Linked DNA regions of Canis lupus familiaris. The protein of the gene in region 2 binds, or shares a complex with, the protein of the main gene of each other region. Links are inferred from orthologs where the notes say so. Each region holds a gene or a part of one and is shown on either strand. Other genes may lie near its edges.

Region 1 (4,196 bases), on a different chromosome or scaffold from region 2:
GAATTACAGCCAAGGCAGCCCTTCTGGGAAAAACAATCCTGCAATGAAAAGAGCCCTGTTCTGAGAGCAGAGAGACCTGGATTTAAGTCTTGGCATGGAGGCTGCCCTGCTGAGGGCCCTCAATGTGTCACTGCCTCTCTGTGTCCTTGTTTGGGATTCTGTCTGGGTTGCTGACCCACCTGTCATCCCCTACTCACGTCCTGATTCTTAGGACCCTGGAAACAGCTGCGGCCTATGGTGACCAAAGAAATGGGGACTGGCCTGGCCCCTGAAATGCTAAAGGGTTGGTGTTGGAAAGTCTTTCTCAGGGGACACCAAGCCTGGGGGGTGGGGAGTGGGGAGAAATACAGAAATGGAAGACAAAAGATACAGGCTTGACTCCTAGGGTTGTTTCAAATTCCCTGGGTGACTTAGGTTAAGTCGTGGAGTTTTCAATTTTCTCTCCTGCAAAAGGAGGGAAGTCTCCGCCTTACAAAGTAGCTGTAGAGAACTAAATGAGAGATTATCGCTAACTTGTGAGTTTGTCACATTGATATCCAGCCGCAGCCTTTTAGAATTAAAAAAAAAAAAAACAACAACAAAAAAACCCCAAAAACCGAACATGCACCCAACTCAGGCACGTGGCCTCAACAAATATGCCAGGACAGGAGGCAGACATGACTGCTCCTATTTTGCGGAAGGACAAACTGAGACCCAGGTAAGTCCAGGAAGTTGTTTGAGGTCGCAGAATGAGGTGGCGCCCGAACCAGGGTCCTGCTCACCTCACGCTGGCCTCTCAGAACCAGCTCCCGGTCCCAAACCCCAGACCTCGCCCCGGAAGAACCGTTTAGCGGCGGGCAGGAGCCTCTGACTCACGCTCCCCACCCTCCTTTCAGTCGGACCTGAGACCGGGGGAGAAGGGACAAAACTACCTGCAACTTGAGGGGTGTCCACAGAAAGTTCAGAGGTTTAGCCCTCTTTTTTACACCAAAAATCCTGGTTCTTTGAACTCTTCCGAGAAGAACCCATCTTTCAATACACTTTGTACGAGTTTTCCCACTTTCTTCGGTGGGATTTTCCTATCCTGAATTTAGGAGTTGATCCCGCTTCATCTCCACCCCCACTTCACTTGGTTTGCCCCCCCGCTGTTTACTCCGATTGCGGAAGTAGCTCGGGTGGAGCTCCCCAGGCGCTGCCCGGGAGTACGTCTTTTGCGTAGCTATTTAACTGGCACTCGACTCAGGCCAATGGAATGCCCGAAAGCCCCAGGAGGGTGGGGCAGGGAGCCAATCAGGGCCTTTGGCGGGGTGTGGCTGCGTCCCAGGGCGGGGAATCGCGTAATGGCGGACGCGGGCCGGGTGAGCGCGGCTGGGGGCGTAGCGCGCTGAGGGGGGTCTGGCTGTGCGGCGTCCCGGGAGGCGGCCCGCGGGAACAGACCCCGTGCGGAGAAGGGCGGCTGGTCGGCCCCTCTATCTCTGAGGGCGGCCGCGCGCGACCAGGTGAGCAACAAGTCCCCGCGGGCGGGCCCCGCCGTGAGGCGCCGGGCCCGGCCGCGCCGCCACCGCCTACCCCCTGCCCGGAGCCTCGCGGGGTCCCCGGGGAGTCGGTGGCGCGCCTCCCGCCGCTGACGGGCAGTGGCCGGGCGAGCGGTCAGCGCGGGGTGGCCTCTTACTGTACACTCCCCTCCGCAGGGGTGAGGTGTCCTGGAGATCCCCTCGGAGACTTGGAGGGGGCCCGCAAATCTGCTAGGCTTGGAAAGTGCCCTCAACCTGACCTGGCGTTGCCACTAACTCGCTGTGTGACCTTGGGCAAGTCACTTCCCTCTCTGGGCCTCAGTTTCCCTATTTGTAGAACGAAGGCTTTGCAGGCAGTTGTACATGAGTTGGATCTCTGATGTTCTCCGAGATCTCGGGCAAGTTCTTCCCCAGTTTCCATCTCTGGGCCGTGAAGGAATTGAAGTGCTCTTTGAGACCTCTGGCCTGCTAGGTCAGGAGGAGTGGTGGAGAGGACTGTGTGTACGTGTGTGCGCGTATATATGTGTACTGGATGGTTCTGCAGGGTCAGGAGGAGAGTTGGCCAGAGGGGCTCTTCCGTGAAAGCTCTGGATGGACCCCAGACTGTGATGAGGTGGACTCCCGATTGTCTTGATCCTCTAGGATCCTAGACCCTCTGAGATGGCAAAGTTTTATACACTAGTGCATCAGAAGAGAGGATAGCATCCTTGGGGCTTCTTGGGACAATGATTGAAATTTAGGCCCAAAAGAATTCTTGGTGGGTTAGGAATAGGAGGGGGAGCGTTTATGCTGCTCCTACTATGTGCCAGTGCTTATTTGGGCTTATGTTCTTACTGAATTTTTACAGCGGCTGTTGAGAACTTACACATAAGGAAACTGAGTTTCAGGGGAGTTAAGTAACTTGTCCAGGGTCACATGGTGAGGTACAGAGCTTACCAACCATAAGGTGATTTCCTTTGAGAATCACCAGACAAGGGGGAAGTCATTGTCCACTTAAAAGAAGTTTGCTTTGTCACAACTGGGGGGAGGGGTCTGGTCCCAGACACTTGAGTTGACTTATGGCATGGAGACAGGCTGGACCTTGATCTCCGGATTGCTAATTATAAGTGCATTCCTTTTCTTCGGTTTGTAAGTTAGAAAGGACCATTTCTAAATTGTAGAAGTTACTGTGAAGTGTAAAAGGTCAAAACCTCAAAGAACTCATTTTGGATGCTGACCCAAGTGACCTGTAGAAGTTCACCAACTGTTGGTGTTTAGACTTGACTCTTGGTTCAGAGTGGTGCCAGCCCAGTCAGTAGCTTTTCCTCCTCCCTAAGAAAGCTAAATTTTCTTGTGATGAGAGAAATTTTCCATTTGTTCAAATTTCTTCCGATTCTTGGAACGAAAGTTTCAGTACCCTGCCTCTGATGAAGAATAATATTCCTTCCTTTCTTTGTGTTCCTTGTTATCTGACTTCTAGATGAGTGAAGATTTTGGACCTGGAGTCAAAGACTAGTAGCTGGATACTATAAATTGTAGCCCTTAATTTTTTCAAGCCTCAGCTTTTGGTTAATCAAAATGGTAGGACGGGCAGAGTGTATTGTTCTCATGTGTCAATGATAGGGGAAGAAAATTGGAAGAGGAAGTTGCTGAGAAAGAGGGCGTTTCTTAGCAGTGGAGCCAATATGTATTTCTTTGTTTGAAATTCTAAAACCAGAAAAGCAGCAACTGAAGGAGGAAGGAAGGAAAGAACTTTGAAACTCTTCTTGCAGTTCAAATATCTTAGGAGCAATCCCTGTTGCTGTCCGTGTCTGAGGCCCCGCTTTCACAGGAAAAGTCCATTGTAATTTGTTCAAAGTTGAGGAATTGTATTCTAGAATGCAAAAATTTTAGGTATGAAACCTGAGATAAATTTCTTAAAATCAGAACATTTTACTGAGTTTGTTGTTCACCAGTGGATGATTCTTCTTTTTTTTTTAAGATTATTTATTTATTCATGAGAGACACAGAGAAAGAGAGAGAGAGACTTAGAGACACAGGCAGAGAGAGAAGCAGGCTCCATGCAGGAAGCCCGAAGTGGGACTCGATCCCGCGACTCTGGGATCACGCCCTGAGCCAAAGGCCGACGCTCAGCCTCTGAGCTACCCAGGCGTCCCTTGATTCTTTTCCTCAGTAACCAATTGCAGTCTTTTGGTCTGTCTTAACTATGATTTAAATTAGTGAATTTCAACCTAAGAAGAATTGATTTAGATACTGGGTGATGTATATCACCGTCACTTGAAAAAACGTAATGGTGCTTGAGTTTTGACATTTGTTAAAAATCTTTTTGATGCTTCATTTTACAGGATTGTGTATGTGAATAGTTGTTAAGGCATTGAATTTATTGTATGTGAAGATCTATTTTCATTTGCTTTATTAGTTATAAGACTAGTAAGACTTAGTATAAGCCTGTTTAAGACTTAATCTTAGCATACCATATCAAAATACCTTGGGGCCAAAAAAAACCCCAAAAAACGAAACAGTTCTTGGGACTAGATATTTTTTGCATATAGAATTTTTGGGATTTTATTTTTTTTAATTTTTAAAAAAATTTTTGGGATTTTAGAAAAGGGATATAGTACATGTACTTTATGTTATATAACATCCCAGAGAGGTCAGGGTCAGCACCTTGTAATCAAACACATTCCCATGTGTAGTAAAATGTCAGAATGTTCACACCAACTG
Region 2 (3,653 bases):
AAGCTTTTATTTATTTATTCATGAGAGACACACACACAGAGAGAGAGAGAGAGAGAGAAGCGGAGAAACAGGCAGAGAGAGAAGCAGGCTCCATGCAGGGAGTCTGATGTGGGACTCGATCCCGGGACTCCAGGATCATGCCCTGGGTCAAATGCAGGCACTAAACCGCTGAACCACCCAGGGATCTGTTGAACCACCCAGGGATCTGCTGAACCACCCAGGGATCCCAAAAAGCAAAAAGCACTTTTAAAAGTTCCTTATAAATAAATAGATATCCTTTCATATGAAGTTATTCTTCTATGTGTGTCATTTCTTGTGGCTATTTTAATGTCTTCCCCAGGCACAAACACCATCTCTACCTCTCGTCAAGCAAATGCAACACTAAATGTGGATTTCCATAAGCATCCATGGCCAGGGGCTCCTGCCCCAGATGGCACACATAGAGTATTTCCACCATCACAAAGAGGTCCACTACAGCGTCCTCCAGCACCAACTCGCCCATGGTGCTCTCCTGCAGGAAGAGATCTTGGGACTGGGCCCACTCTTACAGGGAAGGCTTTGGGCTGACTGGACACCTAGCACAAGGTTCTTCAAGGCTATCCTCCCCAAAGGTGGAAAGCAAAGCTAATGCAGTGGCAGAACTGCCTTCTCCTCCCTCTTCCCAGTAAGAAATATCACTGACCTCCCCAATATGGTGAATGGTCATGTTCTTGACCAAGAAAAGTCTACCATAATCATGAAGACGCCATATTCTTAATTCCTAGAAATCACATCCTGAACAATTGGAATCTGATGTATCCTCTGCTGCAAGAAGCTGATGCTAAGAGAAGCCCCCACCCCAGACCTCCTCACCCATAAGCATGCCTTCCCGGGGGAGGCATATGATCCCAACTGGCACTGAGGTCAAGCCTGAGACAGTCATACGAATGTGTTGAGAGCCGCTAGTGCATGGAGGATACTGTGTATAAACACATGCGCACACACACAGTGGCAAGCATGAGAATAAGAAAAGGCTACCAAAAAGATTGTAGTCAAAACACAGCCTCTTCTCTCCACAGTTACGCAAGCAGCCATGCCCACACACGTACTTTGAGAAGCATGTGTTTCTCACTGGGTGTCAGGTACATCCTATTCTCGTAGTAATCCACACACAGATTCACGATGTCGGCGAGGAGCTCTTCATAGCCAGAAATCACTTCAAGCTGCTGCTGCAGAGACTAAAACACAGAATGCGAGATCCATGCCATAGACTGTTCCTGGCTTCCTGGCTGTGGCCCCAGTCATGCACCCCATCAGCTAGAGCAGCAAGAGTGCAAGCCTTACTTGTGTGATTTTGTTGTGGTTGGCCAGGAACATGGACAGATTCTGTGATTCCTGGATGGACTGTGGATCTGCCATTTTCCGTAGAAACTGAGCGGCTCTTTGAAAGCAAAAAAAAAGAGTTAATCAATGTGCTTAATGATTTTAAAAAGAAAAAAAAAAAGCATAAAATAATCCAGATTATTTATCTGGCTACAGTTAAATGTAAAAATGTGGGCCTTAGAAGCTGGTTATAATTTCAGCCTCCTCGAGCTTCTCTACCCTGGACTCCAGGTCACTCTTGTCCCAGCCTGGACAGTTCACCACCCCACTGTCCACAGCTGAAAGATTTCCTCAGATGTGGCAGTGCCAACCATAGGCCTTCTTGCCAGGTACCTAATAACACTGGTTTCTCCCCATAGCGACCTGTTTCCAAGTCTGAGAAAGACTGCCTCCCCTTTTGACTCCCAGAATATGGTAAGGGAGATGGTCAGCACCATCCAGTGTCTCTGCCAAGAATCACCTAGGCTACCACACCTCCCACAAGTCAGGCGCCACACCCAGTTTTTGTGCCAATGGTCAGAGACAGAATCCCGATTTCCTCCACTAATAGGCTAGTTGATCTTGGATTAACCCCCTGCACTCTCCTGAAGCTCACTTATCACACCTGTAACAAACAACAACTGTCCATCTGTCTACCCACAAAGCAGGTGTGAGGAGAGAGGGAACAGCACACACAGAATTATCTGTACACTTAGGTACAATAAGACTGTAAGGTACACGCTGAGTGTCTGAGTCTTGCAAAGCAATGTAAACATGGGTGTGAGCTTCCTGAATGTCTAGGGCAGCCCCCCCCCAAAAAAAAAAGTTTCGTGGAAACTGTCCACATAAGGACCTGTCTGCTACCTAAAAACTTGGGGGTTTTATTGAAGAAAAATTCTCATGGTAAAGACTGATATCCTATACCAACAGTCATTTCCTCTGTGCCTCCTTAGAAATAAACCCCAAATTTCCATGCTACAGCAATGTGCCTCATCTCCATGTGACTAATGGTTGAGCCATGAGATACAACAAAAAATACTGCAAGGAACTTGGAAGTTCACTTATAAAAAGTAGTATGACCCCTTCTATTCTCCTTCCTCCCTGTTGACTGGAATGAAGAAATGATCGCTGGAGTTCAAGCAACCATCCTGGACCATGAGATAACACATGAAGACAGCAGAGCAGCCAGCCAGCAGGACCCCTGGGGTGTGAACACTGTGGAATCCCCTCATCAGTTGTGAGGCTTCAACTCTAGGTGATCTAGTCCAACTCCCACTGCTAACTCATCCTAAATCTCAGTTTGGCACCACATCCCATGTAGATTTTATTTTAAAGACATGGCAAAAGTTATATGATTTCAGATACAATAAAGCGACAGCTAACAGTATAATAGTATAACCCCTTCTGAGTATAAATGCCAGCCTATTCTGATGCAAAGGAAAACCTCATAAAATTTAATTTCACAGCCAAGAGTCCTTATCTAGCAGAACAAACAAAAGTCAGCATCTCATTCCTGCTAATCATGCATTGAACAGTATCAAGCACAGACTTTTTCTTTTTTTTTAAAGCACATACTTTATAAAGAAAAGTCTATTAGAAGATAGTTGGCTTTGTTCTGACTGATCACCCTCCATCTTCCTGCCAACTGCCCCTCACTATTTTCTAGAAGCAGACTATCATGCCACACCTACCTTTTCCAATTCTCTTCTCCGTAAGTTCTCTCCTGTCTCCCAGGAGAAGAGCTAGTCTCAGGGAGCTGGAACCTCAGTGTGATCCTATGACAGTCTACAGACCAGCTCTGCCCACTGCTGTGATGGTGTGTACCTTCTAGGAATGTGTAACCAGGAAATGACATGAACAGGTGTTGCCCTCAGGCTGCAAACCTGCCTGTGCCCTCAGGAAGATGCCTACTGAGCCAAAAGCCTTGCAGTGCCCCTAACCCTCTATAAAAGGGACTGATCTTATGTACTTCTGTCTTCCCACATGTGCTGAGCACCCACGCTCCTCAACAAATGTTTGAGGATAATTAGATCCCACTCTAGCTTCATGAAACCACAATGTACACATGCCTATGAGGACGCACCTTGATGCATTGCCATACTCATAATCTGCCAGCTACCCTTACGCACCTAGGAGTGTGTATTCAAACAGTCCTGAGCCTGTCAAATAACTGTTACCAAACAGTGACATTATTTCAGCACATATGGGATGCATACCTACCATGTGCAGAGCATGCAGCTAATCAGGAACCACCCTGTCTGCGGGGGCACTCTCTGCAAGGACCTACAGGGAAAGGTCAAAGCTCACCTCTT
Region 3 (2,636 bases), on a different chromosome or scaffold from region 2:
CACAGTGTCTCATTTATAGTTAGCACTTAATGAGTTAAGCAGTTACTGAATATTTGCATGAATTTCTTTTTTGAATGAAGAAACTTAATTTTGCTTTTGGAGATTATCAGTAAATAAATACCATTTAGAATTCCACTTTAAAAATTAGTCATTTCAGTTTTGTAAGATGACAAAAGTTCAGGAGATGGATGATTGTTATAGCTATACAATGTTGTCAGTATACTTAATGCCATTGAACCATACCCTTAAAAATGGTTAAGTGATTTAATGTCATATTTTGTCTATCCTCAAATAAAAAACGTTATTTAAACGATTAAAATGGTAAATTTTATATATATTTGCCACAATAAAAAAAAAAACCTGTGTTCATGAAAAACGGCAAGATCATGAGGCAGTTAATTTAACCTTGCACAACTATTCAGTCCTTCCATTATTTGTTTGCTGGCAAGTAGAAGCAGAAGAGCAATTGAATATTAACATAATTTACCTTTCATATGTGCCCTCACATCAATTGCCCCATTTGCTAAAAAAAGTTAAAATCATCTGTTAATGTTTTTGATATTAAACAAAGAAATGAATCTTTAAAAAGTCAGGACAAAGAACAATATACATAAATATAATTTAGACATTGAAAAAGTCAACTTTTGGTTTAAAAACTGTTTTCAGTTTTGTATATATACAAATATAAGAAACATTTGTAGTTTAATAAGCAGTGAATAATTTGTTTCATGTAATTTGGGATTGAATTTTTTTAAAGCTGCTGTGCCTTATTGGAGAATCTTTTGATGACTACAGTGATGATGTATGTGGAGCTGTTGTTAATGTTAGAGCTAAAGGTGATAAGATAGCAATATGGACTACTGAATGTGAAAACAGAGAGGCTGTTACACATATAGGGTAAGTTTTGCTATTTTTATACTTCCTTTAAAATATTAAGATAACTAAAAGCAAAGTACTGTTACAACTTTAAAAACACTTGGATTTGTAGATCATTATTTTCCTTGTATTGTTTTCATGAAAACTTATAATCTTGAACCTGCTCTATTGGTTTTCATTGTCTTGTCCATATTTTTTTTTAATTTCATTTTCCTCGCAATGGAGTATGTAATCAATGACCAAAGTATTCTATATTGGCATGTAGCATTTTATTTATCCTATGAGAATATTAAGTCTTTTTTCTACTTTAAAATCGTAACATTAGTATTACAATACTCATAGGAATAGTAATTCAGGGAGTATTGGCAAATAGTATATATTCTGTATACGTGTGTGTAAAAATTTCAGTGACTGACATTTAAATGATAGTATTTTAGTTCTGTCCATATTTTAAATGTCTGTTCTGTGCACATGTGTGTAAAATTTTCAGGGACATTTAAGTGATAGTATTTTAGTTGTGTCCATATTTTAAAAACCTACATGTGTAAGTTTTTAAATTTGGGGCATGGTGAATAATTGCCTGGAATTTCCCTATCCCCCAAGCATTGATCAGTATTAACTGGGATCCTCTTTTTATTACTTTTAAATTAGTAATATTTGACTTTTAATTTTGTGTTAAAATTAAGTATTGGTCATAGGTCACAAAATATTTGGTTTGCCCTTCGTGATTGTTTTCAAACAATATGAATTCTCCTATGAACATAATTCCTTTCTAGATTAAAAGATAATGGAGATTTTCCAGGTTTTTTCTAAAAGAGAAGTTGAGGGCAGCCTGGATGGCTCAGCAGTTTAGTGCTGCCTTCAGCCCAGGGCCTGATCCTGGAGACCCGGGATTAAGTCCCACATCAGGCTCCCTGCATGGAGCCTGCTTCTCCCTCTGCCTGTGTCTCTGCCTCTCTCTCTCTCTCTCTTTCATGAATAAATAAATAAAATCTAAAAAAAAAAAAAAAAAAGTTGATTTGTCATCATATTCTTAACCTTTCAGCATCAAAACTTAATAGTTTTGATTATTAAAAAAACAATTTAAAAAATAAGTATGAAGTTCTTTCCTCTGAAAATATAGTATTTGTGTCAGTATTTAAAATTATTGAAATCTTTGTGAAATATTTGACTTCAGTTTTTTAATGGAGGTTATTTTGTTTTGTTTTGTTTTTGTTTTGTTTTGTTTTTGTTTTTTTTTTGACCCAAGTTACATGGCTGAGTGCTCTGGCTTTCTGGCATTTTTATGATTAAGTGTAATGGAAGGGAATACTTTGTATCCTCATATAAATCTGATAATGGTTATTTTAGTTAGAAAGTTATTTTTAGAAACTTTATTTGTAGGAAGGTAGTAGAATCTTCTGGAAGGTATGAGTATGAATAAAACTATCCTAGTATCATATTGGAGAATTTAGCTCCAATATGTATAAATGTATGTCTTTTATTTTATTTGGGTGCTTATTTTTGAAGGTTTGCTGTCTTTTCTTTAGAATAAGTGTCCAAATCCCTAACTTTACCTGTGATGCTCTCTGTGATCTAGCCTCAGTTTTATTTAACCTTTTTAACTCATAGTCCCTTTCTTTATGAGCTGTAGCCACACAGCCTTATTTAGTTCCCCAGCCTTCAGATGTGCTTCATTCTCTCAGCATTTTACTTTTAACCTCATGACTTTTAAAGGGGAGATTTCTCTAATTTCACAGACAAGATTAGATCATCCTTGT

What was found.
Region 1: CYFIP1 (region 2) and WASF2 share a complex: the UniProt entries of both Homo sapiens proteins name them as parts of the WAVE2 complex. The link is inferred for Canis lupus familiaris from reciprocal best matches to the Homo sapiens genes CYFIP1 and WASF2.
Region 3: CYFIP1 (region 2) and EIF4E share a complex: the UniProt entries of both Homo sapiens proteins name them as parts of the CYFIP1-EIF4E-FMR1 complex. The link is inferred for Canis lupus familiaris from reciprocal best matches to the Homo sapiens genes CYFIP1 and EIF4E.

Annotation. Positions count from the first base shown.
Region 1 is NC_049223.1:72,194,773-72,198,968, forward strand, and holds the start of WASF2 (wiskott-Aldrich syndrome protein family member 2), read left to right. Parts: upstream 1-1,252; 5' UTR 1,253-1,337; exon of another isoform or gene 1,338-1,478; intron 1,479-4,196. UniProt on the Homo sapiens protein: Downstream effector molecule involved in the transmission of signals from tyrosine kinase receptors and small GTPases to the actin cytoskeleton. Promotes formation of actin filaments. Part of the WAVE complex that regulates lamellipodia formation.
Region 2 is NC_049224.1:32,059,552-32,063,204, reverse strand, and holds part of CYFIP1 (cytoplasmic FMR1-interacting protein 1), read right to left. Parts: coding exon 3,649-3,653; intron 1,421-3,648; coding exon 1,324-1,420; intron 1,218-1,323; coding exon 1,089-1,217; intron 1-1,088. UniProt on the Homo sapiens protein: Component of the CYFIP1-EIF4E-FMR1 complex which binds to the mRNA cap and mediates translational repression. In the CYFIP1-EIF4E-FMR1 complex this subunit is an adapter between EIF4E and FMR1.
Region 3 is NC_049253.1:18,848,394-18,851,029, forward strand, and holds part of EIF4E (eukaryotic translation initiation factor 4E), read left to right. Parts: intron 1-757; coding exon 758-897; intron 898-2,636. UniProt on the Homo sapiens protein: Acts in the cytoplasm to initiate and regulate protein synthesis and is required in the nucleus for export of a subset of mRNAs from the nucleus to the cytoplasm which promotes processes such as RNA capping, processing and splicing.